4 linked regions of the Lonchura striata genome follow. The protein of the gene in region 1 purifies or fractionates together with the protein of each later gene. This does not show direct contact. Links are inferred from orthologs where the notes say so. Each region holds a gene or a part of one and is shown in the gene's direction. Other genes may lie near its edges.

Region 1 (7,145 bases):
TGGATGAGAAACCACTAGATGTAGTAGCTTCCAGTTCTACATTGAGACATATGCACCATTTATATTCCTTTTGTAGCCACAATGGAGATTCTTGTACTGCTGCTTGTGGAACATGCCCTAGTCTCACTACCCTATTTCTAAGGGCTTTAATATTGAAAATCTTTGTTTAGTTTGCTTAGTTTGCTTTTATGCATTTCTGTTTTATTGGGTTGTTTTAACTGCTTATGATATTGATGCCACTTTAGAGCCTGTCAATAGTTGTGACAGCAACAGCATTCCTTTCCTAAGTACTTTCTTATGAAAATGGTTTTATTTGATGCCATGAAAGAATAATATATGACACACTGAAAACTTGTACAGGGCTTGATAATTTATAAAGTAGCATTTAAGATTACATAGTATTTTCAAAGCTCTGTACAACTGTTTTTTACCATTTTTCTTCTAGTATCCATATATCCCAGCTCATATTACAAAGCCAAAAGAACACAAAAAGCTATTTTTGGTCCAGCTTCAAGAAAAGGGTAAGTGTTTGTTTGGATCAAAGGGTTGTATTTGTAACAATATTTAAATGCCTGCATTTCACTCAAGGAACACAAAGTTGTGATTGTGTATGTTGTGGTATGTTATACCAAGATGTGTATGCTTGCAGTTGTTTGTGGTTGATCACTAACAAAGTTAAATGCTGGTATTTGTTTTGAAGGTAGATGATCCTTTGAACATGACTTCCTAGTAAATTTTTATTCCTGCTTGCATCAGTCTGTGTACAGGATGTGAATCCCATATTTAACTAAAAAAGCAATAAACCTGGTTGAGTGCTCTATGTAGTGAACTTGTTTTGAGGTCTGTGGGGAATGATGATCCCTTGGCTGAATGTGTGCTGGTTTTTTTGATTCATCAACTTGTATTTGTTTTTAGCTTTGTTTGCAGTCCCCAAAAATTACAAGCTGGTTGCTGCACCACTGTTTGAGCTCTATGACAACGCACCAGGATATGGACCTATTATTTCCAGCCTTCCTCAACTTTTGAGCAGGTATGTTGTATTTGTATAGTGGCTCTGGGAACATGGTTTCCTGTGGGACACCAGAGCAAAGCAAGGTGCTACAGAAACCAACTTGAAAAGGTGGCATCTATCCCAAAGATTCTGCTTCAGATGAACTGCATGGACACTTTTGAGGCACTGATCACAACTGGCTAGCACCAAAGTCCTACCTAGCAGCTGTAGTTAAGGAACACATGGAAGATGTGAGGATGAGGCTGTGCACAGACTGAGGAGCAGCTTCTTGTAGTTGTTGGAGACAGCTGGAGAGTTAAAGCCAGGATGTAAATTTGAAGCACTGAGTTAGGTATGCATATTATCACAGCTTTGTGCTGGTTAAATGTGGTGGGTTTTTTTACACTCTTTAGTAGAGCTAATGAAGTGTAGCATCTTTATGACACAAATATCTGTAGGGACAGCTGTATTTTTTCCTTTCTCTTGGAATGTATACCATGCTTTGACTTTATTACCTGGGAATGGCTGTGGCTTGTCTCTCCAGAGCTCACTGGTCTCTTACTTGAGAGCATGTTCAGGCATACTAGGAGTCCCACAGCCTGCCAGCTCTTCCTCAGGGAAGTAGTTCTGTCACCTACCTACTATGATGAAAAAAGTATGTTAGCACTGGTCTTGCACATAATCTTATTTCCTGCTGAGTATTTTTCTCTCTAGCCCAAATTTTGGCTTCCCCTCCTCTAAAGACAGCAGGTATTTCCTCTTGAGTACCAGCCAAACTGTCATGCAGGTTGGGTAGTGGTGCAACAGACACATGCAAAGGCTGGGCACCTGGAAGCTGAGATGGATTGCTTGCTTCCACAGTTATTTATGAAACTTAGCTGGGAAAAATTCTCTCTTCAGTATGTTTGTGTGTTCCCCTTGGAACATGTAAGGTTGGTCTAGTAGCAGAAGTGCTGCAAAAGAGTTGCTGATGGAGGAATGTAACTCTCACTGTGATTTATGTATCTGTGACCTTGTTTTAGGACATGAAATGTTAATAGTTAGTTCTTCTCAAACCATAAGAGACAGTTGTGCAATGCTAGTGTAGGATTGGCTGTTAAAAATGATATATATACTGCTATACTGTAAAGCTGTCTTATGAAAAAATGTACTTTTGTCCTGTCAGGTGGAGGCTTATCCAGAGCAAAAACAAAACATTTGCTTATTCATTCAAAAATGCCCTTAAAAAAAAGAATCAAAATTCCTCACTTGGTATAATCCTTTTAATTTTAGGTTCAACTTTATTTACAACTGAGTTCCTATATACCTGAAGACTCCAGTAGAAGAAGCCGTCTCTGTGAGCACAGCTTTGAACTGTAGAGAAACGAATATGTGTGACACAAGGATTTTTTGAAGTCTTTCTGTTCCTGAAGACCACTAAACATTCTAGGGTATGAACAGAGAAGTGAATTTCAACTGTTTAGCTAGAGAGATGGCAATGGGCTACCAGTGTTATAATCCCTTATCATTGTAATACTCACCAATTTTTTGTTTTGTACAACATTAAACAATATGGTTAAGATTCAGTTTGTCTTGGGTTTGGTTTGCTTTTTGTTGTGTTTTTTTTTAGGTTTTTTGTTTGTTTGTTTGGTTTGTTTTTCCTTCTGTTTATTAGTTCTTTTATTTTTCCTTATTGTCTCTTAGATGCATATTTTAAGCTTTATTATTTTCTTCAGGAATACAGATGATCTTGGAATGAGGAGGAGCTAAGCCATTCAGGGCCCATTCAGATGCTGGGATCTTTATCCGTGAGAAGGGAATATCCCTAGGATCAGGGAGAAATGAAATAGCTTAAGTGGATTCAATATTGTTTTAAGTCTAACTTGGAGACCAGAACTGCTTTTTTGAGGGAGAATGAGTACTTAAAGGCAAGCGTAGCCTTTACCTTTTTTACCAGAACCGATCGGTTTGTAACAGGGCTTGGAGGAGATGCAGCATGCATCTGTTCCTTCAGTGCCCCCTTGAGACAGTAACAACCCCAAAAATTCTGTTGGACTGGTCTGAGCTGCAGTTAAAATTGGGAAAGTGAGGTTAATTTTGTATATTTTTTCTTAGCTATGGGACAGAATTAGGGTCATGCTGAAACACTTAACCAATGCCACATGCAAGTGGTTCCATGTTATGCTGTCCTGTGCCGTCTCATCCTGCAAAAGATACCCACTTTTGCTTTTTCTCAACATTTCAGTTTCTTGTAGGCAGTAAATATCAATCTTTCTACTTCTGGGGATTTTACATGCTTGGCTAAACATAAAGTCCATTTGGATGTGACACTTCACAGTGCTTTTAGTCTTCCATAATTTTGCTTAATGAATGAGTCTTTGAAAGATTTGTTTCCAAGTTCTGCCTGTGATCAGAAGATGCACTGTTGCTTGTGCACTGTCCTCTTTTATGAAGGCAGGGTTGGAGAGCACCTGCTGCCAAGAGAACCAAATCTTGCCAAAGTGCTTGCTTCTGCTGCCATCTGCACTGGTAAGCAACGTACAGAACAATCCTGACAGCTTGGTGGTCAAATTGAAGCTGTGCAGTATGGCAAATGTACTGCAAAATGCTGGGAGAGTGCAAGGGCTGTTCACTTTGGTCCTATGGAAGGAAGGCCCAGACAGATGGTGAGTAGAATATATGGTTTCTCAGCTACCAGCTAGGGGAAATACAGGTAGCAGGAGAGTGGAAAACAGAATCTTTTTGCCTGTGGAAGTAAGAAAAGGCAGGTGGAAGTTTGGAAGTCAGATGCTGCAAGAACAAGGAGCAGAGTGCAGCTTTTGAGCCTTGGCACTTAAGAGCACCTTTCACCTTACCACACGGTAGTTTGCGAGACTAATTCTTGTTCCAGGCTGTCAGTGGAAGGGCGCTGCTCCTGCAGTCTCTACGCTCTCTCTGCCACCCTGCCTGTAGGTTTGGGGGCTCCCGAAGGCCCCTCTGCTTCCCCCCGGCGCGGCTCCGGCGGTGCGGCCGCTGTCCCGGGCGCGGGCGGCGCGGGGCAGGGCCGGGCCGGTGGAAGCGCCGCCCCGGCCGTGACTCAGCGCGCGGGGTGACGGGCGGACGCGGCGCCCGGAGCCGGGGCGGAGGGCTCGGGCCCGGTCTGTTTCCTTTATCCAGTGGGGGCGTCTCGCCCGGCCCCGGGGAGGGGCGGCGGGGCGGGCGTTAAGCCGGGGGAGCGCGCCGAGCCGGGGCCGGGCGTTCGCGAGGGCTCCGCGATGCCGCTGCTGTTCCTGGAGCGCTTCCCCTGGCCCAGCCTCCGCACCTACACGGCGCTCAGCGCCCTGGCGCTGCTGGCCGCCGGCCTCAGCGCCTACCGCGCCCTCAGCCAGGCGCCCGGCGGGGCGGCGGGCACCGAGCTGGCCGAGCCGCAGCGCTGCGCCGGGCCGCGGGCCCTGGACGTCGCCTACTACCTGCTCTCCGACAGCCTCTGCGTCTGGGTGAGCCCGGGGCGGCGGCGGGGCCTGCGGGCCTGCGGGGCTGGCGGCGGCCTCTGGGCACCTCCCCGCGGCCGGGGGCAGGTGGGCGGGCCCGGGGGGAGTTTCGTTATTGTTGTTTGAAAACTGCTCGCGGAATAGAGAAGGGGGCTCGGCTGGCTTTCCCCGGGCCGCCTCCGCAGCCGCTTCCCTTCCTGCCTGGCTGCGGTGGGCAGCGTTAGAGCCGAGTTCAGCCCGCGGCTTGTGCTGCTCTCCCCGAGCGCCTCCGCTCGTCCTGCCCGGGGGGCTGGGAGAAGCTGTCGGGAGCGTTTGCCGCGGTCCCAAGCGCTCAGCTTCGCCAAGCGCTGCCCGACCTGCTCTGCCAGAAATCAGAGTAAGGGGCTGTCAGGTACTCGAGCCTTGCTGCCTTTGTTTATTTCCTTTTAAATAGCACTGAACGTTTGGTAGGTAAGAGGAAACATTCTCACCGTTTAAGGAAAAGAAAAAAGAGAAAATAATTTTCTGTACTTTTTAAAACCCAGACCTCATAATGGCTCATGATTTTTGGCTCACTGATTTGCAGTTGAAATAAAGGCTCAACAAGGCGATATTGGATACCTTGCTGAGTTGTTGCTGTTGAACTTTTCATCTGTCTGTCACTCAAAGGTGGCAGTAGTTGGACATCCACTTCACAGCATACTTACTTGACCGAGGTGCTGGTTTTTAATATGCCATATATATTCATCCTGTTGAAAATTCGTCTTGCAGCCTTAAGAATCCTGGACAAGTGATGTCCTTTGGAAATGACAGGGTGAAGCTTCTTCATCATCTACCTTCTAGCCTTTTTAGTGTCCTGCTTAGGTCAAAAGTTAATTACAAATCCTTTTGTCAAATATGAGATAGCAGTTTTCCCAGGCCCATGTGCTCTGCTTCTTGCTACTTTGCTGTAAAGAAGTTTCCTAAGAAAGCCTCAAGCCGTGTTATTACGGAAGGGATATGTGCTATTCAGCATATTTTGAGGCAACCTCTGAATCCTCTTACTGTAACAACAGATTCAAACTGGATTTTTCTCATCTGCCTTATGTTAAACAAAAGGAGCATCTTGGTGATCTCTAAGCTTTGTCCCCATGTTCTTTTATGAAATTTTCTAATCTGTATGAAATAATTTGTTGTGAAGTGGTAGAGCAGTTTGTTGGCTTTACTGCTGTATCAAACTGAATGTGTTAGTATTTCTAGAAAAAAAAAGCTAAGACTTATCAGCTACTTCATGTGTCTTGGAAGAGGCCAGGCTTAAATTTCATCAAAAGAAAAGGCAACTAATACTGTTCTGTGAACAATGACAGGTTTTGTTAGACTTGTTCATTCCCCTTCTCTCACTTCTTCTAAATAGGGCAAAAGTATTTGTCACTGACTGCTTTATTTCTTTCCAGGTATTAGTGAACACTGCCTGCTGTTTTCTGATGCTGGTTGCTAAGCTAATCCAGTATATGGTGTTTGGTCCTCTTCGTGTCAGTGAGAGGCAGGTGAGACAGCAAACAAGGAAACTGAAACATAACAAAGTCACATGGTGTGATTTTCTATATGGAATTGCTGAAACTGCACAAGAAAAATAAATTTTACAATGGATGTCTTACCATTTGGTTAGCTAGCATATCCACAGCCACATGCTTCCGGTTTATTTTGAAGGGAATTTTTCCTGTTGTATTTTATAAGCCCCCAGTCAGCTTGAAAAATCCTGTGTCTTTAATGAGCTCTGTTAGATTTCTTACAAGCACACCTCACTTCAAAACACTTGTAATGTGTTCTTCTCTATTCTGCCTGTACCTGGCAGCACTTCTCCGTTGCATTTTGTAGCTGTCAGCACTGGCAGTTTTGAGTTCCCTCTTTTGTACCATAACTGCTGGAGAAGTGCTTTCCAGCCTCATACACTGAGTAGATGGTTTATCAGCCTGCAGGTTTAAGAGGCAGTAGGCAAGAAAATCCCCAGAGAAAGGAGGTGAGCAGGACAGAAAACAGAGGATGTTTAGTCCTGCTCTTGTCTATGTGAGAATGTTTGTAAAAATTCAGCAAAGGAACTGTGAAAGCAGAGTTTTTAAAAACAGGATCCTGCAGAAGATGAAAGCAGCAGCAAGACCTTGAATAGTATCTCTATATATATATTTTTAAAGCAAGGCAAATGCATAAGTTGCTCATGTAAATGCAGGAGCAGTGGTTTGGAGTGTGTTCACATATTAAAAAAAAAGTCTGTAAAAAGAGTTCCATAGGAGGAATCAGTCCATGATGATTTTTGGCATGCAGAACTGAGGCACACAAAGCCTCATTAATAACTGTGAATCCCTCAAAGCCTATTGCATTTGTAATTCATACCTTGTAGAGGCTCTGAGTGGTGTATTAAAACCAAGACACTATCAAACTGCAATGGGCCCGACTTTTTCTGCAGTCCATGTTGACTGTAAGGATGTGGAATTTTAACTGGTGATGGTTTCCAGGATGTTCTTTACCCTCTTAAAAACTGAAGTGAGAAGCAGTAGCAGTGTGGGTCCATTTGTGTTTAGACAGTGGGAGTTTGCCTCAGTTGTCATGTAAAGGAAAGCTGCTTATTAATACTGGCGAGCCCGAAACAGCAGCATCTTTAAGGAACTCAGGGCCTGTTTTAACTAAACTCCTGGTGATTTCATCATATACTTTAACAAAACATTTTGTTTCATAAATTTCTTAATCCC
Region 2 (6,889 bases), on another chromosome or scaffold:
CTCTGTTCTGCTCAGACCCCACCTGGAGTGCTGCATCCAGATCTGGGGTCCCCAACACAGGAAGGACATGGATCTGTTAGAGCAACTCTGGTGGAGGCCACCAAGATGATCAGAGGGATGGAGCACCTCTCTTACAAGGAAAGGCTGAGAGAATTGGGATTGCTCAGCCTGCAAAGAGAAGCCTTCAAGGTGACCTAATTGTGACCTTCCAGTACCTGAAGGGAGCCCACAAGAAACATTGAGAGGGACTTTTTACAAAAGCCTGAAGTGACAGGACAGGGGAGAATGGCTTCACCTTGAGAGTAGGTTTAGGTTAGATAGCAGGAAGAAATTCTTTATTGTGAGTGTGGTGAGACCCTGGCACAGGTTGTCAAGGGAATTTGTGGATGTCCCATGCCTGGAAGTGTTCAAGGACAGGTTGGATGGGGCTTGAGCAACCTGATCTAGTGGAACCCCCATGGCAGGGGGTTGGAGCAAGATGATCTTGAAGGTCCCTTCCAACCCACACCATTCTATGATTCTGTGATCTGCAGGCTTTGCTGCAGGTTCCTGAGAATTCACACAAGTACACTGGAGACCATTGATAAAGCAAAGAACTCAGGATGACAGACTGCTGCTGAAGTCGAAAGATTTTTTGAACTCTTGCACATAGGGTTGGCATAGGGAATCAGACAATGAATGTCACTAAATCCTTTCATAGAGACACAGGAGATTAAGGCTGAGCATATGACACTGGGAAGGTTTCTATTCTCTGTATCAATAGGAGAAATTCTTGAAGGTGAATAAAGTCAAAAAAGTCTCCAGTGAAGCAGAGGGAGAGCAGTTTTACACATAAAACAGGCCTTGCTCTGTGATTCTTCACCACTGCCTTTTGAGCTTTTATCAGCAGACAGCTCATGTTTTGATCTGGTTTAAGTAGGGAGAAAAATAACTTGTCCAAGTATCCTAAACTTCCCACGTAAGAGGCCCATGAGACAGCCCTCATGAGGCAAGCACATTGTCAGATTCTAGAACATCACAGAGTTTAACACAGAAAGTGTGAAAGAACAGGTGAAATTATTTATTTATGTAATGAGTAGCAAGGCTGAATACTTAGAGATTCTGCTGCCTTTGCTAAGGGATGAGATAAAAATAACGATGTCATTAATCTTACAAAGACATGTGAGCGCTTCTTTCCAGAAATAACTGTTAAGCATAAAATTTCAGGCATTAATCAAAGCATGCTGAGGCCTAACCTTCCTTAGGATTCCAAAAAGAAATGTAAAGCAACAGGACTGTAAAGCAACACGAACAAAAGGGGCATTTAACCTTCATTCTAAGTGTGTAACTTTGGGGAAAATATGCTCAGGGACAGGTTATTGACTAGTTTAGATTTGCACTGATTCAGCTGGTTTTAGCAAAGCTGCAGCAAGTTTTACCCTCTCAGAAGTTGGTCTCTGTTGTCTCAAAAGAAACCAGGAAGAAAGAAGGGCACCACCACATGATATCATGAATATGAAAAAAATGCATATAAAATATTCAAATAAAATATTCTGCAGGAAATAGCAAAAAAAGCATACTCACGAGGAAAGGAAAAACACAGGATGAAAAAAAAAATTGCTTAAGAGGTTCTTTTAGGAAGGAAAACTAGCAGATGCAGCACAAGGGAATATAAACTCTGCCCAAACACTGAAAATATGGGCAAGATTCAGGGGGGGAATTTAAATACAGAAATATATTTTTTCAAATAAAGTAGAGATGCAGCACAAGCAAGGATGAATTATATTTGTTTCCCATAAGCCAAGTCCAAGAAGAGATTTCCTACAAAGATGAATCATTTTATCTCAGATCCACAGTCCTGTTGATAAATCTCAAAGTAAGTGATTCACCAAAAAAGAATATTTCCCAGGGAATGAGTTCTAGCCCTTATTTAGAGCTGTTGAAGGTGTTTCTTAGTGGTGTGGGGATGCAGATAAATTGTCTGTGTCAATTCAAAGCTTGTACACAGTGGCCATGAGGGGAAGTGTTAGGTCTGCATGTGATTTCCTGAAACAAAATGTTGTGCAGAGGAACCCATAAAAAGCTGACAATATATCAAGGCTGTTTTCTCTCAAAATAGTTGACTGAAACTTTTTGTGCAGATCCAACTGGGTCAGAAAAAAATCCAAAAACAAATGGAGAAAGAGAAATATATTGTGTCTTAAAAAAAAATCTGACAGAAGAATCTGAACAATTTTAGCATATTAAAGTAAAACCAAAAGCTGTTTCAGTACTGTAAATAGCAACAGAAACTGAGTATTTACAATTCCACTTACAGAGGACACATGTACCTTGGTTCAGCAGTAAAGTCTGCCAGACATTACTGGGGTGATCCCAGCTGGCATTAAGAGAAAAATACTGGGCTCATCTGTCACTTCCAACAGTGGCACTAACAAATCTGTCCTGTACATTTTCCAAAGGCACTTTGCTCAGCAGGATCAGTTACGCTAACTCTTCCTATCCCAGCTAGAAAGGGATAGCCATATCCCAGGTCAATTTTACTCTTCATTAATGCAGAGAAGACCTGCCTCTTTCCATATCTTCAACTGATTTCATGTATTTTATTTGCTACGTTTATCACATCAGTGAAAGACGACTGGAACCACCACTGAGCACTGATCCTGGACCATCGTTGTGCCCATCATGGGCATGGCTAACAGCTACCCTTGAATGCTCAGTGCCATCCCTTGGGAAGCCCTTGGGTCCTGTATTCCTCCTAAGTGTAACAATGGCACAACCTCATGTGAAAAGATCTGCTGGACCATTGAGGCTAGCGAATAAACACGAAGCCCAGCAATTCCTACTGCAAACGCCAGCCTCCCATGTGTCCTGGAGAACCAGCGTCTCAAAAAGGCATCCTGGGAGCTGAGTCCTGCTCTGTGTACTCATTTTTTTGGTGCTGAACTCTACCATATAATATACAGCTCACACTTAACCATCCCTGACAGGCCTCTTCCCAAACCCTTGCAGAGTACAGAGGGTGAAGTTGTATTTAACTGGGTTTTTGTTATTTTGGTCTGGCAGGATTGTGACCTGAGCTTTGCTAGTGCTGGCAGAGCAGCTGCTCAGGCTGTCAGGGCCCAGTCAGGAGCCTCGGATCCTCCGGTCACCCCATGGCTGGCTGCTGACGCAGCGTCTGGCTTTGGCACCACCATCTTACGGAGTCATAGCCTTGGCAGGATCCCCTTACACCATTTTAGAATTATGACAGAGATCAGTGATCCCTTCGTCTTCAGGAGAGGCCACAGCAGACGCCTTCAGCCTTCCCCATTACTAACTGCCATCACCCAAAGGGACACGCAGCAGGCTGGGCAAGCACACGAAGGTTTGCCTGCAGCGGCCACTGACACTTGGGCTTAAAATGAGTCTGGGGAGATTCAGATTATATAGCTGAAAAAAAAAAAAATCACTTTTAGGGTGGTCAGGCATTGGGATAGGTTGCCAAGGGAGGTGGTGGAGTCACCCTGCAGGTGTTCAAGAAGTGTCTGAAGCTGGCACTGGGTGATGCGGCTTAGTGGTTTAAGGGCTACAGCGGCGCCACTGGGCTCACAGTTGGACACGATGATCTTAAAGCTCTCTTCGAACCTCGACCATTCCATGATTCCGTGACAGCGTCACCACCGCCGGCATCTCCATCCCTCCACCGCCCTCCCCTTCCCGCCCGGGAGCGGCGCGCATCCCGGGCGCGCTGCCGCCGCCGGCGGCGCGGAGCGGGCGGAGCGGCGGGCCCGGGAGGCGGGTGGTGTGTCCCGCACGTCATATCAGCCGCCCGCCCGCCATTGGCTGCGCCGCCTCACCCGAGCGGGGCCGCGGCCGCCCGGGGCTGGCGCGGCGGCTCCCGCGCCCGGCGCTCGCCCCGCCCGGCGGGGAGGGGACGGGCGGGGCGGCGGCGCGGAGCGGAGCGGCGGGCCCGGCGCTGCCTGCGGCCGCGGGTAGGTCGGCGGCGGGTAACGTGACATCCGCGGCTCGGGGTTTATAAACCTTACCCGGGGCGCGGGCCGGCGGCGCGGCGGCCGGCGCAGCCCCCCTCTCCATCCCGAGGTGAGCGGGACGCGGGTGCCCGGGGACAGACGGACGGGCCCGGGCAGGGAGCGATGCCCGTCCCCGCGGGGGCGGCGGGCCGGGGTCCGTGTGCTCCCGTGGGGACGAGGCGGCGCAGCCCCGGGGTTGCTCGGCCGGGCCGGGTCACCCCGCATCCCCCGGTGCCCGGCCGGCGCTGGAGGATGCGGCGGTGCGTGTCAGCGCGGAGGGAGGCGCGGCCCGACCCGTTGCTGGGGCTTTAGTAGCGTGTGGTTGTGCGTGTGTTTCAGGACTCCGGAGAAGCCAATGCCCAGGTTGGAGAGCTGCGCCTGGAGCTGTTCCTGCACCGCCAGAGGAAGGCACAGGAGCCAGCTGGGGGACACGGCGGCGGGGCTGGCCGCCAAGGTGGGCGAGATGCTGAGCTCCTCCGTGTCCAGCCCCTCGCTGGCGCTGGTGGGTCGCGGAGCTCGCAGCCCCAGCACCTCCAGCGCCAGCAGCACCGCCAGCAGCGCCAGCAGCACCTTGAACTGGAGTCAGCACCTGGTGCAGAGGAGCGTGGTGCTCTTCGTCGTGGGTGCTTTCATGGCCCTGGTGCTGAACTTGCTGCAGATCCAGCGGAACGTGACTTTGTTCCCCGACGAAGTGATTTCTACTCTCTTCTCCTCCGCCTGGTGGGTGCCCCCGTGCTGCGGCACAGCAGCAGGTGAGTGCCTGACCTCCACCAGCGATTTCAGCTTTATTCCTCATCCTCTCGCGGAGGAGGAGAGGCGGTGGGGCTGAATGCTTGAGCCGTGCGCGTGGGAGCCCCGCGTTTCCATCCCACAGCGAGAGATGCGAGCTCGGGCACTCGGGAGGGTGCGCGCCCGGTCCGTCCCCGCGTGTCCCGGGGCCGCTCTGGAGGCGGTGCGCTCTGAGGGCGGCCGAGAAGCGCGGGCTCCGCGCGGGCTCCGCGGGGCGCGGCGGTGAGCGCGGCGCGAGCGCGCTGGCCCCGCCCCCCGCCGCCCATTGGCTGCCGCCGAACTGGTGAGTGGCGGGCGGCGCTCGCCATTGGCTGCGGCCGCGACTGGCCACGGGCTGGGCCACAACAAGGAAGTCACGTGCGGCGGCGCGCGCGGCCCTGTCGCCACAGCGGGCCCCGCCACCGGCCCGGGCCCTGCTCCCGTCCCTGTCACCTCTCTGTCCCCTCTCTGTCCCCCGTCCCTGTCACCTCTCTGTCCACCGTCACCTTCCTGCCCCTGTCACCTGTGTGCCCCTTCCCCGCTGCCCCCGTCACCTGCTTGCTCTCGCCACCTCGCCCGCTGCCCCTGTCACCTCCCCGTGCCCTGCCTGCTGTCCCTGTCACCACTGCTGGGCAAGTACCACAGAAGGCTCAGGCCGCGGTGTGGTTGTCACAGCAGCTGGCGCATACTTCGTGGTTTATCATTCATAACACCCCCACCCCCCCCCCCCCCCAGTCCCTCTGTCTAGGCAAAACAAAGTTTTGGTGAAGGGTTGGAGGATTAAAAATGGAGATAAATTTTAGGAAACGAACCCACTCTTAACAGTTTTTAATTTGCGTTGAAAATACTTTAAACAACTTCTGCATATTTTTGTTTAATGCATATTTTGTTTAATGTTTTGTGTGATGTCTGCTTGTATCACACAGTGAAGGGGGTATGAATGATAAACCATAAACTCGAATAAATAATGAACTGTGTTAATTAATGGATTACATTAAAGGATGAACATTAAAGGGATGGCCTGGGATATTCTCCAATGAGAGTTCTTGTAGTCCTGTCACAGTTGGATTAAACTTTGGAATTCAGGTGTTAGCATAAGTTAAGAGTCCTGGTAGCTGGTGTCAGAGTAATTAAGCTGTTTCAGAACACGTCTCTATTGGAATAGCATGTTCTCTAGCCTTCTCTAACACAGAATTTATTACTCTTAGGAGTTTAAGGAATTAAAAAAAAAAAAAGAGCAGGAAAGGAAATAAATAAACACAGAAGTTGCACTTAGTAAAAGCAGCACATCTAACCCTGGAGTTGGTGACAACTCAGGGAGTTACAATCCCTAGAAGAATGAAACTCTGGTGTTCTTGCCAACAACTGAGCTAACACTGGCCTATGGTTTTCTTCTGCAGCCAACTTTCAGGCTGATAAAGGCTGAAAAATGCTTTATGGAGATAAAAACTTTGTCTTGTTAATTGTATGAGTAGTTATTTTTCCCTGATATAAGTAGACTGATGGCAGCTGCTTGTTTAAGTTCAGCTCTGCTTCTGTTTGGTATCAAAATTCATCTGACAACATGGACAGGAGCCCTGGGCTGACTTACAGCCCAGCAGAAAGAGAGAAAGCAGCTCTGCTAATAAACTTTTTAAGTCCAGGCAAATACTTAATTCAGGGCCTGATTCACAGCTGATGAATCATGTTCATAAAGCTGTCAGCCCTGCACGTGAGCAATGAACACAGATTGCACTCCTCGCAAAGCTTTTATTGTGCTTTGCTTTTATTGGTACAAGTGTTTGCTCAGGATGTCAAATGACAAATCTCTTTAAACAAAAGAGCTTCAAGTCAGATACCTTAACAATGCAATATATATTTAAAGGTTCAAAGAGAATGCTGCTTGTTACACTGGGGTTTTCACTTCTCTAAAGAAGAAAAGCTGGGTAATAATTGTGCTTTCTCCATCAGGCTTACAGCGGTGCGATGAGCACCTCGTTGCTTTCTCAAGCCCTTATGTGCCAAGCTAATATTTGGTGGTGCTGGAGTAATCCTTGCCTAGCAGCTGGTCCAAGTGGTGTTCCTTCTCTTGCAGCTGTGGTTGGCCTGCTGTACCCCTGCATTGACAGCCACCTCGGGGAGCCCCACAAGTT
Region 3 (7,780 bases), on another chromosome or scaffold:
ATCTTAGTCTAGGAGACAATCCAGAGACACAGAGAGATGATGTATGAAGAAACTGATTTTTATCAGCCAGTGTTGGTGGTCAGAGGTTTGGTTGTAGGTGATACCATGCACTGAGAACAAAAACCTCAATTACTGTAGCAGTGCTGTGCCAAGGAGCTTTTTTTTGTCTCCTAAACTCTCCAGGCAGTCTGCCCATTATCTAAACAAGTGTTCTGGGGATCTTTATCTCCTTGATTGCTCTCCTTGAGCCTGATCTGTGCCCACATTTCAACTCAGGCTGAAGACATTGGCTACCTGGATGAGCAGATCATGGCTCTGCACACGGAGATCGTGGAGCTGCAGAAGAGTCCGTATGCAAGGCGCCAAGGAGAGGTCATGGAGAGCCTGTGAGTCCTGTGCTGCTCATTCTTACTGCAGAAAATTGGATCTTGTGTATTTCAGTGTCTGAGGGGGTTTTTTCCCCTCTGTAGCTGGTTCCCTCAGCGATTTTGAAATGCAAACCACAAGTACAGAGTAATGTATGGTTGATTTGAGATCATTTTGCTTGTGAAAGGAAAGATCCTACCACTCGTGGGACACTGAACTGTGAAACCTCATCTTTCAAGAGCCTAGTTCTAAGATAAATCTTGGTCTCAAGTGGGGATTTCCTTTTGTGTTGGAGAGGAATGACTTTCTTACTGTTGAATGAGAAAACTACATGAGCATTGTAAAACCCTATTACCTTCAGTATTTTCAAATCAAGGGTAACTATCTCATGGGTACTTGGATATTTGGAAAGTTGATTTTTTTTTTTAAGTATTAAAATACGAAAGAGCTAAATGGTATTTTTGATCTTGAGGAGAGATAGGAAGCAGTTACTGGGCTGCTACTGAGAGCACAAGTGGCAGTTCTAAAAGAAAAGGATTGAACAGCCATTAAACCTGTCAATAAGAGCTCTTCAGAACAGCTCTGACTGTTCAGGGAGGAAATGTGCCTGCTCCTGGTATGTTCTCCCCCCTCCCTCTTTGCAAAGTTGCTTTTCATCCTGTGTAGTTGCAGCAGAACTGGTGCACAGGGGAGGAAGTGGTGCAAAGGAGAAGCCACCTCCTGCAGCAGCTGCTCAAACTAACCAGGATTGTGCCTCCTTAAACATTATTTTTAAGCAATTCCACTGCTGCAGTTCCACCAGGATCAGGGCTGGGAAGCTGCTGCTTGTTTCTGACAGACTGGGATTTAGAACAGGGAGGATTTTGTTCAAGGCTGGAAGTTTTCAGTGTGACTTTTTGAAATGCTTGAAAGAAGTAATGTTTATTTAATGGGAAGAAGAGAAGCACGGTCGTCTTGCTTGTGATGCAGCTGTCTCTTTCCATTTACAAAATATCACTAAAATTCAGGCAAAAAATGCAGAGCAGGAACAAGAACTTCTCAGGCAGTTGTACAGTCAGAGTTTCAAAAATTAAATCAGATAATGAAGGGGAAAGGAATCACAGCTAAGCCATGGGAAGAATTGAAACTGAAAATAAGCTCCGCTTGGTGTGGTTTTCTGAGAAGAAATTGCACAGCTGGAGAAAAAGAGAGACAGCTTTGGGGAAAGTGTTGGATTCCATCACAGAAAGGGATCCCTGTGTTCCAAAGGCCATGCTTGTGGCCCACTGTAGGAGAAGGTCCAGTGTCTGAGTTCCAAAAGGCATCCCTTCACTGCAGTGCTTTTTCTCCTGAGTCAGCTGGCTGCCGACACCTGCCTGAATCATATTCTTCTTTTTAAAGGGAGCAGAGAGCCATAGACCTGTACAAGCAATTAAAAACACGACCTCCAGGTATGGAAGAAGATGATTTAAAGACTTTCACACTTTTACCCCATGATTAATTGTTCTGAACTGAAACCCAGGCAATACTGTTAGGATTTACTAATGTGGTGGTTGCTGGCCCTTGCAGATCATGCCTACAGTGACAGCACAGACATGGTGAAGATCATTGTGCAGACAGTGCAGAGCCAGGACCGAGTCCTCAAGGAGCTCTTTGGCCACCTCAGGTACTTTATGCAGACAAAAAACCCCAAACAAATCCAACTTGCAGCATTTGTAGCTTTGTCGTCAGAAAGGATAGGGAAAACCATGGAGGTCAGAACCCAAAAGGCTCCATTCACATTTCTCATAGCTTTAATTCTGCTCCTTTGTGTTGAGTTTCCACTTCATTTTTAAAAACATTGTTAGCATCCAAGAGTTCACTTTAAAATGAGGCAAATTCTGCCAGTTGGAAGTTGGAATACAAATCTTCAAAGGAAAAAAAAAATTAAAATTCCTGCAAAATTCAAAGGAAAAAAAGTTCCTTCAAATTCAAAGGAAAAAAAAAAAAAAGCAGTAGTGTTACAGAGAAGATAACGCAGTGATTTGTACATGAATTTTTCAAGTATCTTGGATCCCAAGATCCTTTTGGTTTTGTTAAAATGTGCTGGGAAGTGATTTTGTGTCTGCTTTTCATTCCAGCAAGCTCTTGGGCTGCAAGCAGAAGATCATTGACCTGCTCCCCGAGATTGAGGTGGCTCTGAATAACATCAAGGAAGCTGACAACTCAGTGATGCAGATGCAGGGAAAAAGACAAAGGGAGATCTGGCATTTGCTGAAAATTGCTTGTGTGAGTAGCTGTTGGGTTGTTTGCACTTCTTGCAGTGCCTGAGCCGGGAAGTAAACTCAGCAAAAAGGGGTAACTGCCACACCATGGTTGGATTTTTTTTTTCCTGTAGAGAAGGGCAGTCTGAGATGGTAAAAGCAGAAGTTAAATAGGTGCTTTCCTGGTTAGTTTGAAGTGTTTAAGAGTTCCCTTTTTTTGCATTAATTACAGTGCCTGAAGCCACCTCGTGGTTCCCACATCTCTGTGTGTGTTACCAGCAGTGCTCAGGTGCAATCCCAAATCTTCCCTATATATCATTGAAGCCTAAATTCTTCTGAATGTCTTTCTTGCAGACTCAGAGCTCCTCCCGATCCCTGGTGAGCTCTAGCCTGGAAGGGACAGCCTCAAGTCCAGCAGCCACATGGCTCCCCCAGAGCTCCTCAGGGAACACTGCTCCTCACCCTCTGTCCTCGCTGGCAGCTCCTGAAGATGGGTATGAGCTGCTGCTGGGGAGCAGCCACTGCAGGGAACTCAGCATCTCAGGGGCTTTGTCCTTCCCACAGTGGTTTCAGGAGTGTGTATGTCACTAACGCTCTAAAAAATCAGGGATTTGGTTGAACTCTCTATTCAGAAATCTCTGCTGTTTCTGAGCTAGTTCCACATGGTACATGCCCTGCTGAAGGACTGTGCATCCGTTTATTGCATGTCATGTTGCTCTTCCTTGGGGCTGGATCTGGTTCTTAAGGCTCCTCTCCCTCAGTCTATGCTGAGTTCTGTGGCGCTGAGGGGTTTTGCTCTTTGCTTCATTAACAATTCTAATTATGTTCTATCAGTGTGAAACCATTCTCCTTTGTCCTGCCACCTCCAGGCAGGTTTTTATGTCACCTACCACTGCACAAACTACAAATAACTTTTTTGGGTTGTTTGTTTTCCTTTTTCTTTTCTTTTTTTTTTTTTTTTTTTTTTTTTCCATCAGTGCAGCACCTTTTGATGGGGGTGTTACTTTTGGTGCTGCTTGAAATCCATCACCTTGGGGCTTTTTTCCCTTCCTGCAGGGAAAATTTTGCTGACGTGATCCGGGAGAATTTGAATTACCTCGAGCTCTTCAGCAGCATTCTGCAGGAGGTGAGGCAGGAGCAGAACAGCATGATGGTAAGTGCTGGGGCATCTGCCAGGACTTGGCTCTCAGGGGACACCCAGGGGTGCCCTGGGCATGTGGAGAAATCCTTGAATAGGAAAAGGTACCAGGTTGCTCCAAGCCCCATCCAGCCTGGCTTTGGACACTTCCAGGGATTCAGGGAGAGCCACAGGTTCTCTGGCACCCTGTGCCAGTGTGCATGGATACATGTCTCTTCCCAAAATCCCACCTAGCCCTGCCCTCTGGCAGTGTGAAGCCATTCCCCCTTGTCCTGGCACTCCAGGCCCTTGGAAATAGTCTCTTCTTTCCTGTAGCCCCTTCAGGCACTGCAAGGCCACAGTGAGGTCACCCTGGAACTTCTCCAGGCTGAGCCATCCCAGCTCTCTCTTTGCTCAGAGGAGAGAGGAGGCACTCATCCTTTGGGAATCCCGAGATCTCCCAAACTAGAGTGGGCTCACAGGGCTCCTGTGCTGTGCTGCATTGTGCTGAGAGCATCCTTTCTCACGGCAGTCACTGATTTTTCGCCAAGCAAGACACACATCCAGTATCCAGACCCTGCGCTCAGTCGTGTTTTTGCTCCTCTTCGCAGAGTTTCGACTGGAGCTGGCTGAAGTAACCCCAGGAGCTGCGGTGCTGCATCACCCAAGTGCCTTCTGTGTGCTGAGGGCCGCCTTCCCTGTGGGACATGGCGGTGTTTTATGGCCATCGCCGGTGTTTTATGGCCATCGCCGGTGTTTTATGGCCATCCCTGGTGTTTTATGGCCATCACCAGTGTGTTACTGCTATCACCGTGTCACCCACCGGCTGTCCCCCAGGCAGCGGCCTGGGCCCGGCCCGTGGAGCCTCCTGAGGGCGGGGGGCGGTGTGACCCATGAATGTATAGTGCGTGTATATAGAATGAATAAACTCGGAGCTGACAGGCCGAGGCCTACTCGCCATCGCGCCGTTGCCTGGCAACTGGGGAGGGGGAGGGGGGGGGTCGGTGGCGTCATCACCCCGCGCCGGCCCGGCGCGCCCAGAGTGCCGCGCGCCAGCGCGCGTGCGCGGAGGGGCTGGGAGCGCGGCCTCGGCGGCACGTGGGGCACGGGGTGAAGGTACGGGATAACGGTATAACGGGGTAAAGGTACGGGATAACGGGGAACGGGTAAAGGTACGGAATAACGGGGTGAAGGTACGGGATAACGGGGAACGGGTAAAGGTACGGGATAACGGGGAGCGGGTAAAGGTACGGGATAACGGGGAACGGGTAAAGGTACGGAATAACGGGGTGAAGGTACGGGATAACGGGGAACGGGTAAAGGTACGGGATAACGGGGAACGGGGCAACGGGATCGGGGTAAAGAAACGGGACAGGTATAGGGTAACGGGGAGCGGGTAAAGGCCCGGGACAGGTACGGGGGAATGGGATAACAGGGAACGGGACAGGTACGGGATAACGGGGAGCGGGGGAACGGGGTAAAGGAACAGGGCAGATACGGGACAGCAGGGATAGGGGTAAATGTACGGGACAGGGATCGGGATAAAGGAACAGGACAGGGATTGGGCTACAGGAACAGGTACGGGACAGGGATCGGGGTAAAAGATTGCGATAAAAGCAGGACAGGGGTTGGGATAAAGGAAACGGATTGGGACGAAGGAACGGGACAGAGATTAGGGTAAAGGGTAGGGACAGGGATTGGGATTGAGATGATAGGGACAGGAACAGGACAGGGACTGGGATAAAGGATTGGGAGGGCTGTGGGACAGGGATGGGACAAGAATTGGGGTAAAGGAACGGGTCTGAGACAGGGATTGGGGTCGTTATGGAGTAGGGGCAGGTACAGGGTAGGGATACGGGCGGGATGGAGAGCACGGGGACGGGGCCGGGCGGTGCCGGGGCAGTCCCCGCGGGCCCTGTCCCGTCCCTGTCCCGTGTGTGCGGGCGTGTCCCGGTGCCGGGCGGTGCCGGGCCCGGCGCTGACGCCGCTCCGTGCCGGGCAGGGCCCGCGGAGCCCGGCGCCGGGAGGGGATGCGAGCATGGCCATGGCCCAGGCCGGGGCGGCGGCCGCGGCTGCCAGCGGGCTCCTCGTCTTCCTGCTCTACTCCGCCATCCACCGCGTCGAGGAGGGACACCTGGCCGTGTACTACAGGTACGGAGCCCTTCCGGAGCTCGGCGCCCCGGGTCGCTCTGCCCTGGGCTCCCTCCGGTTCTCCCCCAGGGTTTGCACCCGTGCTGCTTCTGCTCCCTTCGCCCCGTGCAGAGCCCGCGTGTGCTGGGCTGGCTGAGCCCTCGGCTGCTTCTCCTGCCCCTCCTTCCTCCCTGCCCTCTCACACTGATCTCAGAGCTTCTCCGCGTCCCTCCTCGCATCTGTTGATCTCCCTCTGTGCCAGCAAGAGTTGTCACCTTTGTCCCAAGCAGTCGCCCAGCCAGAGCTCCTGCTGTGTCGCTGCTTTGGAATGCTTTCCCTGCCCTTCCTGCTCAGCACCGTGGATGTTTTCCTTTGACCACAATGGTGTTCAGCATTAACACCCCAGGGGGCTTTTCTCTGGGCGAGGGGCTGTGCCGAAATCCAAGCTGGCAGCATCACATCCATGGCTGGATTTTTCCATGGTTACCACTGAACTATTTAGAGAGGAGAAGTCTGTGTTCTTGCAGCTCTGTGCAGTGTTGCAATGTTGGGAGGGTTTGGCAATAGCTGCCTGCTCCAAGAGTTAATGGCTCGCAGGCTTTACGCAAAGTTGCAGCAGGCAAAGATCAGGTGCACTCAGCCCTTTTTCTGTGGAATTGCTGGCGAATTTAGGGCACTGATGCAACTCTCTGTGACCCCTGGCAGTTCGAGCTGTCCCTGCATGTTCTCAAAGGCAGCCCTTGCTGTTTGCACCTTCCTGAGCCTGTTTTCCTCCCTCTCCTCAGGGGTGGAGCGTTGCTGACCAGCCCGAGCGGCCCTGGCTACCACATCATGCTCCCGTTCATCACCACCTTCAAATCCGTGCAGGTCGGTGCCCTCTCCCTGCCCTGGGGAGCCACACTTGTCCCCTTGGAAAGCTCTCCCCACCGTGTGTGTGTGTGACACCGCTGGGAGTGGCAGTGTCCTGCTCAGGCAGGACAGTCCATGTCTGTGGCTGTCACTGTTCCCCTGCAGCACCGCATTCCAGAGCAGGGAAACAGGCACAGCTGCCTGTGCATCCCCCAAAAGGCAGGGGAGGAGAAGCTTTGCCTTCTGCCCACACCTGCAGGCATCACAGGGGTGGCAAAGGACATGCTTTTGGCTCTGTGGTGCCACTGTGGGAGTCTGGGCCTTCCTGGAGTCAGGTTTGTGAACAGTGCCTGTGTTTGTGTTGCAGACCACGCTGCAGACTGATGAAGTGAAGAATGTGCCTTGTGGGACAAGGTATGGCTTCCACTTGTATTTCTTCTAGATGCACTCCTTGGGGTCCTTTGCAGTGCTGGGACACAGGGATCGGGAAGGAAAGGCACCTGCCATAGAATTAATCCCAGATGTACACACATTTATCCCTCTGTAACAACAGGAGGGAGCACTGACTCTTGCTGGAGCTGTTCAGAGCATGTTTGCATTTATTGTGATGTTATCTTGAATTTTTCTGGGCTTCTCCCCTCAGTTCTCTGACACTCCCTTACTTGTGCTTTGCTCTGCCCTCAGACTGGTCATTTCCACTCTGAGTCCTGTGGCTGATACAGGTGCTGACCCCAGCAGCAGGCAGAAGGAAACAGGGAGTGGGAATCCTCCTGATGGGAAGGAGTTCATTTCCAAATGAAATTCCTGCTGGATAGTCAGGCTGATTCTTCTGTCAGCACAGACCTGCTGGAGTTGTAGCAAGCAGGAGGAGAGGGCTGGTTGAGTTGGGTTACAGATCCTGTTGTGCTGGTTCGTCCACAAGTTAAAGTGATGACTCTTCAGGGTAAAAAAAAACCCAGTGATTCTCCTTGTCTTTTATGTTCAGGGTCCTCAACAAAATTTCTGTTCAAAAAATTAAATCAGTGGTGGCACACAGTGACCACATTGAAATTAAAAGGTGAATTTTAGTGGCAATGTTAATAAAACAGAGTTAATT
Region 4 (7,986 bases), on another chromosome or scaffold:
AGAAAAAAGGCCTTTAAAAATCTTATAAATATCTTCTAACATCTGATTTTCAGAATAGGCAATTTCAACACAATCATACCTGTGTGGAACAATACAAATAATTTTTTGCATCTTAAAGGCTCTAGTGTTTTTGCTATCACTGATAGTTATATTGGGTAATTTAGCATATGCTCCAGATCGCAAAGGTACTCTTTGACATAAATTCAGTCTGAAATAGATGACTAGTGCTTGATCTCTTGTATGCATCAGAGAACACAGATATGCAAAGTACATTGTGTTATGCAATGCTATATGTAATTATTTGCCCTCCTAACGGATTCCTTAATTGGATCTTCTGAGCACTATGCTTAAACATTATCATTTTGCTAATGCTTACTATGTTTCACAATTTACTATGCAGTAAATTAATGGCCTTCAAATGAGTGATCTAAAATGCAGCAACAGCTGCTCAGACAAGGGCAGCTAGACCAGTGCATTTTTAATTCTCACAAGAAGTCTCATCTAAGTGAAATAAAACATGAACATAGGCAGATTGATTCTGATGCTTCTTAATTGTTGATTTTAATCTGAGTTTTTAATATTCTATCTTAACCTTGCTTTCCCAATATGTTTGTATTAGGATCTGGTTCCTGATTATGCCTGCCATATGTTCTTGTTTTTCACAGGATTTCAACCTTCATTGAAATAAATTTATTGAAAATAAATGTGACATGGAATTTAAGTACCTTTAGGCAGTGTTTTACAAGTACTTAGAGACCAAGCTGCTGATCAAGTGCTTGGTGCTGCACCTTGAACACAGAGATGCCAACATCTGGGTGCATTTGGTGCCAGTGCTTAGGATCACATGACTGATGGTTAAAAGGGAAGTGATGGTTAAGACCTGCAGTGTAAAACTGTATGTGGCTCAGCTCCAGATAAGCCAGTACCTTAAATTGTTACTGCATTGTCATTGCTTGCCATTCAGGGGGTCCAGCTGAAAAATGAGGCAGTGATGTGTTTGAGTAACTGAAGCAATAGTTTCCCACATTCATGTTACCAGGCACTGACATAGCATTCAGGTTTAAAATAGCATTTTAAATTTTGCAAAAATCACATGGCGAGAACCTTAACTAATGGAACATGTTAGAGTGTCCTAAATTTTTTTATAATAGTGTGATGGAAAATCAATTGCAAAAATATACAACAAAGCCCAATACTCCTTCAGGAACTCCATTGCTCCTTATTAACGGTACGCCTACCAGCTCTACTTGGAAAGAGCTAAGCTAGAAAACATTCTGTATCTTCTAGCTCCAGTAAAAAAACCCAAAACTATGTAATGAAATGTTAGACACACACTAGACTTTAAGAGGACAGGTCTGCTGCAGCATAAAGTATTTTTCACTTCCGAATGAGTGAAAGAAATTCACTAATTTTGGAAAGGTACAGGTCAAATCAGTCTGATTTCAGCAGAGTGAGTATCTGCCTTCTGTCCTTCCTCCTGTTCCAATGCAAGCTGCTATCAGCAAGCTGCTATCAGCAAGCTGCACTGCTCCTGGATTTTTGCAGGAAATGTGTGTTGCACAGCTGTTTTCCTTAACATCTTCTGTAACCAAACACAAAGGTTAGAAACTGTAGGGAGGAGTTACTGAAATCATTAAATTTAGCATTAACCTCTATGTATCTGTTCATATTTCAGGTAATTGTAATAACTGCAAGAGCTGCTATGAATGCCTTGGAAACCCTAGATGTCAAAGAGACAGAGAACACTTGCAATTAACCTGCGGAATCATTAACCTACACCGAGTTTAGTCAGAAAATTCCTAAGCAAGGTGTTACATTTCCATCCTGTTTTACTCTGCTGCTGTCCTTCATTCTATATGCCAGAGGAGCATCTGACTGTTGGAGATTAATTAGTAATTAAGAATTGCTTCAGAAACATCACAAGTTCAGAGAAGAAAGCAACTTAATCATTTTAGAAAATAGCTAGAAATTTAAATTCCAGTCTCCTGGGATTTACTTTTGAGCAGGAAATTTAAATAACTTTCTTTTGACCATACCACATTGACCCCACTAACTAGATGTAATAAACAAATGGGAGATATTCAAGCTGACATTTGAGCAGTGTCAAAGCCTTCTAAGCTTGTTCTGAGTAGATTAGTAGATAAGTGCTAGCCTTCCTATTCTGGGATATGTTCCAAAGCAAGCATGAGGACTGATGATTTCATTTAACTCCAAAGTAGTCAACACTTTATACTTAACAATGCAAATAATTTGTTTAATTCTTATGACATGCTACCAGTTGACAGTGATGATGTTGTGATAAAAATACCTCTCTTCTCGGCACTGAATCTGAGGGCAAAAACTACATTTCCTCTACTATTCAATCAATATGTTAAACTATAATTATTAGCAAGGGATGTGCAGTTTTCTCAAAAATACATAGTGGATCTCATCTGCTGTAATCTCAGAAATATTGACTTTTTTTTTTTTTTTAAACAAGGGATAAAAACATCAGGGGTTTCACAGATTCTGAAATATATTTGTAGACATTTATAAGATAGCAGCAAATAGATTGAGAGACAGTTGCCTGTATTCCAGCAGTATTGACAAATTTGCAAGGGTTTTGGTTTGCCAGATATTGCTACTCATCCAGCTTTGCTGTATCTGTCAATGATAGCAAGGCCACAGAGCTGCTTTCAAACTGGCCCTTAAACATTTCCCAAATGCATCCTCATTCAGTGGAATACATGCCTAAGTCTCTAGTATGTTCAGTGATTATGACTTGAATCCAATTCCAGTGCCCTACATTGCAGAGAAGAATCCCTCTAATATGATTACCTAGCAGTACATCAATCTAGGGAAATCTTCAAAGCAGAGCCTATAAAACAGAAAAATACTAGGTCTTGGCTCTTAGGACTGTAAACTTCTAAATAATGATTGCTCTGTCACTCGATTCTGAGAGCCTGTGAAAAGAAAAAAAAAAACAAGCTTTATCTTCACCACTGAAACAACATTCCTAAACCTATTACAAAGGCAATTCTGGAAAAGTTTAGATACTGGATAGGTTTTATCCTCACCTATAGTAAAGCCAGATCCACAAAAAGGCTTAATTACTTTAAGTGGAGGTTAGTCGAAAACATTCAAAATCGTAATTAATTAAGCCATGAGTACCTCATTAGATCCCAGCTTCAGAAGGCACCCAAGCTTTTCCAAAGAGGTTTCACGCTGGAGCTCTTACAAGCTTTGCAGGCTTTGCACCTCCTTATTTACCTTCCATTTCTTAGAAATGAGGGTTGCCTGTCACTTTTGTGTGGTTACAGGCATTCAGCAGTGCACTGGCAAGACAGAGTTTGCATATGTAGCATACAGCAGCCACAGTCATTTGCATTTGAAAGAAAGAAGGAAAAATTCTGTAGCAAATAATTTCTTCCAGCTGTGCTTTGACAGCAGAGAGTAAGCTGGTTTTCTGTAGCCAAAGACACAAAGTATGTGATGGGTTTCATGCTGTGAATCCAATTTAGATTCTTTTCAGAGGAAAGAACCTCAACTTGGGATAAGTCAGGATTTCTAATGTGCTCTTTGTCTCTTCTTCCTGGCTGGTTTAGACATACCTTCTGCTCTGTGAGCGGATTATGAGTCCCAATCCCACCTACCTGATGCAGGCCTTGTACAGAGAGGACAAGTGAGCAACAGAAATCTGAAGTTAGTGCTGGAAATTGGCCATTTAAAAGATACATGCTGATATGCTAATCTTAGCTGAAGTCTTTGCGGACTGTCGCCTTGGCAGTATTTAAGAGATTAAATTTACAAAGTTTCAGGAACTCAGTACTCTGGAATGCTAGCTAATAATTGCATTTGAATGCAAATATTAAAGTGCATTTTTATGATATATTACAAAATTTATGGAATACAAGAAATATATTACTTACCTAAAAATTTTTATTATTGGTTGCCTACTTAAAAATTGTTACCTAGCTGACAAATTATATTTTGCAGTTCCAGAGTGGCATTGGTTTTCAGTCTTGTACTGCAGTAAGGTAAATGTGATTTGAGGCCCGCATTTCCATCATCACATGAACACAAAGTGCACACAGCTCGTGCTGCAAAGCACTGTCACCTTTTTAAATGCCTAGCATGACTTATTTCAGTAAAATCTGAGTTCTGCATTTTCATTGAAAATGTCAGTGAAATTTGGTGCCCTAATAGTTTCAGCCTTATGATACCATATCTCCTCTGAAATCGGGATTTCAGCTCACCTCATATGGTGAGCTGAAATATGGTGCCTACCATCCTGTTGAAGAGCTGGAGTCAGATGTGCCATCAGAGCCCGTGGTGATCTCTTCAATGTGGTCCCTTGGTGGAGCCTGGGGAGGAATTAATTTGATCCTAAAGCAGACACCTTCATTTGGCCACCTGAAAAGCTCTCCAAACTCCGCTGTCTGTATTAGCTCTGTCTCTGTTAGCTGTAATGACAGCTCACCCACAGCTCTAATGAGACATTTACCTGCTGGACTCCCCAAATCACGGTGAGCCTTGAGGGACAGTTTTCCCAAGTGCAAGGAGTCAGGCTTCCTCAGGGCACCTACATATTTAAAATTTAAATCGTGTTAAATCATGAAATCACAGAATAGTTAGGGCTGGAAGCGGCAGCTTCTGGAGATGGATTAGTCCAACTTCCCAGCCAAGGCAAGGTCCCCTGGAGCAGGTGGCACGGGAATGTGACCAGGTGGGTTTTGAACGCGTCCAGAGAGGGAGACCCCACGCCCTCCCTGTGCAGCCAGTCCCAATGCTCTGCCTCCCTCAGCGGAAAGAGGCTTCTCCCATTTCTGGGAGCAGGAGTGATTCCAGAAAACACACGCGCGCCGGAGCGCCGCCGCTCACCCGCCGGGCCCGGCAGGGGGCGCCGCCCTGTCGCCTGGCGGCGGCGTTTGGCCCATCGCGGCCGCCTTAGCCCTCCCCGCGCCGGCCCCGGCCCCGGCCCCGGCCCCGGCCCCGGCGCGCCGCGGCTCCTCGGGGGCTGCCGAGCTCGGGGCTCCGCCGGCCGCGCCCGCCCGCCGGGCCGGGCCGCGGCCATGTTCACCAGCACCGGCTCCAACGGCTTCTGTGAGTACCGGCCCGCCGCGGTCCGGGCGGGGCGGCGCCCCGGGGTGGGAGCGCGGGCGGCGCTGCCGCCGTCGGCCCCGGGGGAGCCGCTGCCTTCGGTCCTCTCTTGGCTGCACTTTTAAATTGTACGGCGGCGGGAGGAGCCGCGGGTGTGTCTGTGTGTGTGTCTGCCTGTGTAGGTGTGTGCATGTCCGTGTGTGTCTGTGTCTCTCTGTGTGTTTATATGTATTTGCATACATACAGACCTCCATGCCAAGTATCAAAAAAAGAAAAAAAACAAACCTATTTTCTTAATTTGAAATTAGACTTATTTTTAAAACCAGTTTATTGACAAGGCAGACGTAAGGACTAACGTGCCCGTAGCTCTGCTTAGCTTTATTTTTATGCACAGCATAATTATAATGTAAATAATTTCATGTCCCGGTGCTACCTGAACTGACTTCACAGGTTTCTGGGGCTGGCTCTGAGCTTGTTTTACAGGACACAGACTCTGCAGCGTCTGGAAGCAGCAGTGGGGAGCTGACCTGGCTGCAGTGTGCACTTGGGCACCACACACAGTCCTAAGAGAGGCGAGGACAAATGATACGTCAAAGCTTTGCTGCCTGCGTGCTCCTTACAGAATGGGTGGTACTGTCCGTGTGCTGAAGGGCAGGAGGGCTCTGCAGAGGCATCTGAGCAGGCTGGATCAATGGGCCGAGACCCAACAGTATGAGGGTCAAAACGGTCAAGTGCCAGGTCCTGCACTTAGGTCGCAACCAGCCCAGGCAGCACTACAGACCTGGAGAAGAGTGGCTGGAAAACTGCCCAGAGGAAAACGATCTGGTGCTGGTTGACAGCCAGCTGAACATGAGTCAGTGTGGCCAGGAAGGCCAATGGCATCCCGGCCTGTATCAGCAATAGTGTGGCCAGCAGGACCAGGGCTGTGATTGTCCCTCTGTACTCAGCACTGGTGAGGTCACATCTCGGGTACTGTCTCCAGTTCTGTGCCCCTCAATTTAGGAAGGACATTTGGGTGCTGTAGTATGTCCAGAGAAGGGCAGTGGAGCTGACGAAGCATCTGGAATGCATGTCCTTTGAGGAGTGGGTGAGGGAGCTGGGGTTGTTTTGGCTGGGAAAAGGAGGTTCAGGTGGAAGCAAAGTGAGGGTTGCCCTCTTCTCGCAGGTAACCAGAGACAGGACAAGACCCGAGGACTTAGCCTCAAGCTGTACCAAAGGAGGTTCAGGTTGGACATTGGGAGGAATTTCTTCACAGAAAGGATAATTAGATATTGGAATGGGCTTCCCGAGGAGGTGGTAGAGTCACCATCCCTGGAGGTATTTTTAAGAAAAGACTGAAATGTGGCACTCAGTGCCATGGTCTTGTTGACAGGATAGTGTTTGGTCACAGGTTGGATGTAATGATCTTAGAGGTCTTTTCTAACTTAATTGATTCTGTGGTTCTGTTTGAGTGTGAAAGCACCCTCTGACTAGGGGAGGAATATTTCTGGCATTTAAAAAGGGGTGTTAGTTGTAGCTGTATTTTCTGTGAGGAATCCAAAAAAGGGAAGAGTCTTTTTCAGATGGATCTGATAATACTGTGCCTTGATTTTCAGCTCCTGATTTTTTATCTCTCTCTGTGCCCCCAGTAGATACTATAGAGGGACTTTTCAATGGCATATGTCTGTGTATAATTTTATGAGAAAGAATGTAGGAGGAAGAGTATCCTTGTTAGACTGAATGGGTGGAGAGTCATGGTCAGTATTTACAAGTTTTTCCAGGTTTGATCCATCAGAAGGATGAGTGGGAAATGGTTGTCATAAGAAGCATATATGTGGTAGGGAAAAAAACTAGATATCATTCTGCAGAAAGAAAATCATAGAATATCCTGATCTGGAAAAGACCCACAAGGATTATCAAGTCCATCTTCTAGCCCCGCACAGGAGAGCTCAAGAATCACACCATGTGTCTGAGAGCATTGTCCAAATGCTTCTTGAACTCTGTCAGGCTGGTGCTGTGGTCACTGCCCTGGTGAACCTGTTCCAGTGTGTGGTCACTTTCTAGGCAAATAACCTTTCTGACCTAAACCTTCCCTGATACAGCTCCATACTTAGTGTTATGCTTTTTTTTTTTTTCCTTCTCAAAACCAAATACAACATATGTTCTTACTGAACTTACCTGTTGACCTAAAGTGGGTTTTTAAAATAAGATTTGGCTGGTATGGGTGCACTGACAAACTCCAGTAGAGGTATGGATTTAGGTGCAGTGACATATGCTCACCTAGGACACAACTGTGGCAGTTTCAGGTGTCCCTGTGCCCTCAGACTTGCTTCTGTGTGTGCAGCAAATCCCACACAGGAGTGTGGGATTCTGTCACTGATGCACAGAATCTGATTGTTCAGGTAGTTAATGAATTGGTGCCTGATGTTGCACCAGAGAACTGTATGTGTGTATTCTTCCCCTGGGGCTTGGGAACCTCTGGCAGAAGGCAGTGTCAGTGGATGAGGGGACCTGTATGAGTGATCCTGAATGAAATAAGTGGACACCTGGTTCAGCAGCAATAGCAATGATCATGCCAGGGCACACTGAAGGCTCCTGCAGCCTGCTGTGCCACCTCTGACAGACCGATTAACATCTATAATGGTGGAACGAGGAGATGTAAAAGTAAAAATAAACATACCTGGTACATGGTATGACTGTGAGATAGGGAAGCCAGGAAACAAAGGACACCACCTTCTTAAAGGACAAAGACAGTTTGCCTCTGCTGTGGAAATTGTTTCTGTTATCTGGAATATTGGAGGAGCTGGTATGCTCTGGAAAAAAGAGCCAGTGGCTCTGGGTACTAGTAGGAGACACAGTGCAGACATATGCAAATGGATTATAAGAACACCAACCCAGCTGAGCTGGATTGCAATGTGCTCAGGGGCA

What was found.
Region 2: the proteins of AMFR (region 1) and INSIG1 purify together in Homo sapiens (affinity purification with western blotting; 6 studies listed by BioGRID and IntAct, with this or other methods). This does not show direct contact. The link is inferred for Lonchura striata from reciprocal best matches to the Homo sapiens genes AMFR and INSIG1.
Region 3: the proteins of AMFR (region 1) and ERLIN1 purify together in Homo sapiens (affinity purification with mass spectrometry; 3 studies listed by BioGRID and IntAct, with this or other methods). This does not show direct contact. The link is inferred for Lonchura striata from reciprocal best matches to the Homo sapiens genes AMFR and ERLIN1.
Region 4: the proteins of AMFR (region 1) and UBAC2 purify together in Homo sapiens (affinity purification with western blotting; 4 studies listed by BioGRID and IntAct, with this or other methods). This does not show direct contact. The link is inferred for Lonchura striata from reciprocal best matches to the Homo sapiens genes AMFR and UBAC2.

The regions. Positions count from the first base shown.
Region 1 is NC_134615.1:15,556,574-15,563,718, reverse strand, and holds the start of AMFR (E3 ubiquitin-protein ligase AMFR), read left to right. Parts: upstream 1-4,136; 5' UTR 4,137-4,224; coding exon 4,225-4,446; intron 4,447-5,852; coding exon 5,853-5,945; intron 5,946-7,145. Other genes in the region: NUDT21 (cleavage and polyadenylation specificity factor subunit 5), read left to right, coding at 446-521, 916-1,030, 2,264-2,285. UniProt on the Homo sapiens protein: E3 ubiquitin-protein ligase that mediates the polyubiquitination of lysine and cysteine residues on target proteins, such as CD3D, CYP3A4, CFTR, INSIG1, SOAT2/ACAT2 and APOB for proteasomal degradation.
Region 2 is NC_134603.1:149,213,871-149,220,759, reverse strand, and holds the start of INSIG1 (insulin-induced gene 1 protein), read left to right. Parts: upstream 1-3,885; 5' UTR 3,886-3,950; exon of another isoform or gene 3,951-4,059; intron 4,060-4,328; 5' UTR 4,329-4,344; coding exon 4,345-4,741; intron 4,742-6,831; coding exon 6,832-6,889. UniProt on the Homo sapiens protein: Oxysterol-binding protein that mediates feedback control of cholesterol synthesis by controlling both endoplasmic reticulum to Golgi transport of SCAP and degradation of HMGCR.
Region 3 is NC_134609.1:37,327,768-37,335,547, forward strand, and holds the start of ERLIN1 (erlin-1), read left to right. Parts: upstream 1-4,767; 5' UTR 4,768-4,821; intron 4,822-5,707; 5' UTR 5,708-5,743; coding exon 5,744-5,856; intron 5,857-6,620; coding exon 6,621-6,702; intron 6,703-7,051; coding exon 7,052-7,098; intron 7,099-7,780. Other genes in the region: CHUK (inhibitor of nuclear factor kappa-B kinase subunit alpha), read left to right, coding at 277-386, 1,747-1,796, 1,915-2,011, 2,466-2,613, 2,943-3,082, 3,645-3,960. UniProt on the Homo sapiens protein: Component of the ERLIN1/ERLIN2 complex which mediates the endoplasmic reticulum-associated degradation (ERAD) of inositol 1,4,5-trisphosphate receptors (IP3Rs).
Region 4 is NC_134604.1:78,098,129-78,106,114, forward strand, and holds the start of UBAC2 (ubiquitin-associated domain-containing protein 2), read left to right. Parts: upstream 1-4,983; 5' UTR 4,984-5,051; coding exon 5,052-5,082; intron 5,083-5,562; exon of another isoform or gene 5,563-5,702; coding exon of another isoform or gene 5,703-5,709; intron 5,710-7,986. UniProt on the Homo sapiens protein: Restricts trafficking of FAF2 from the endoplasmic reticulum to lipid droplets.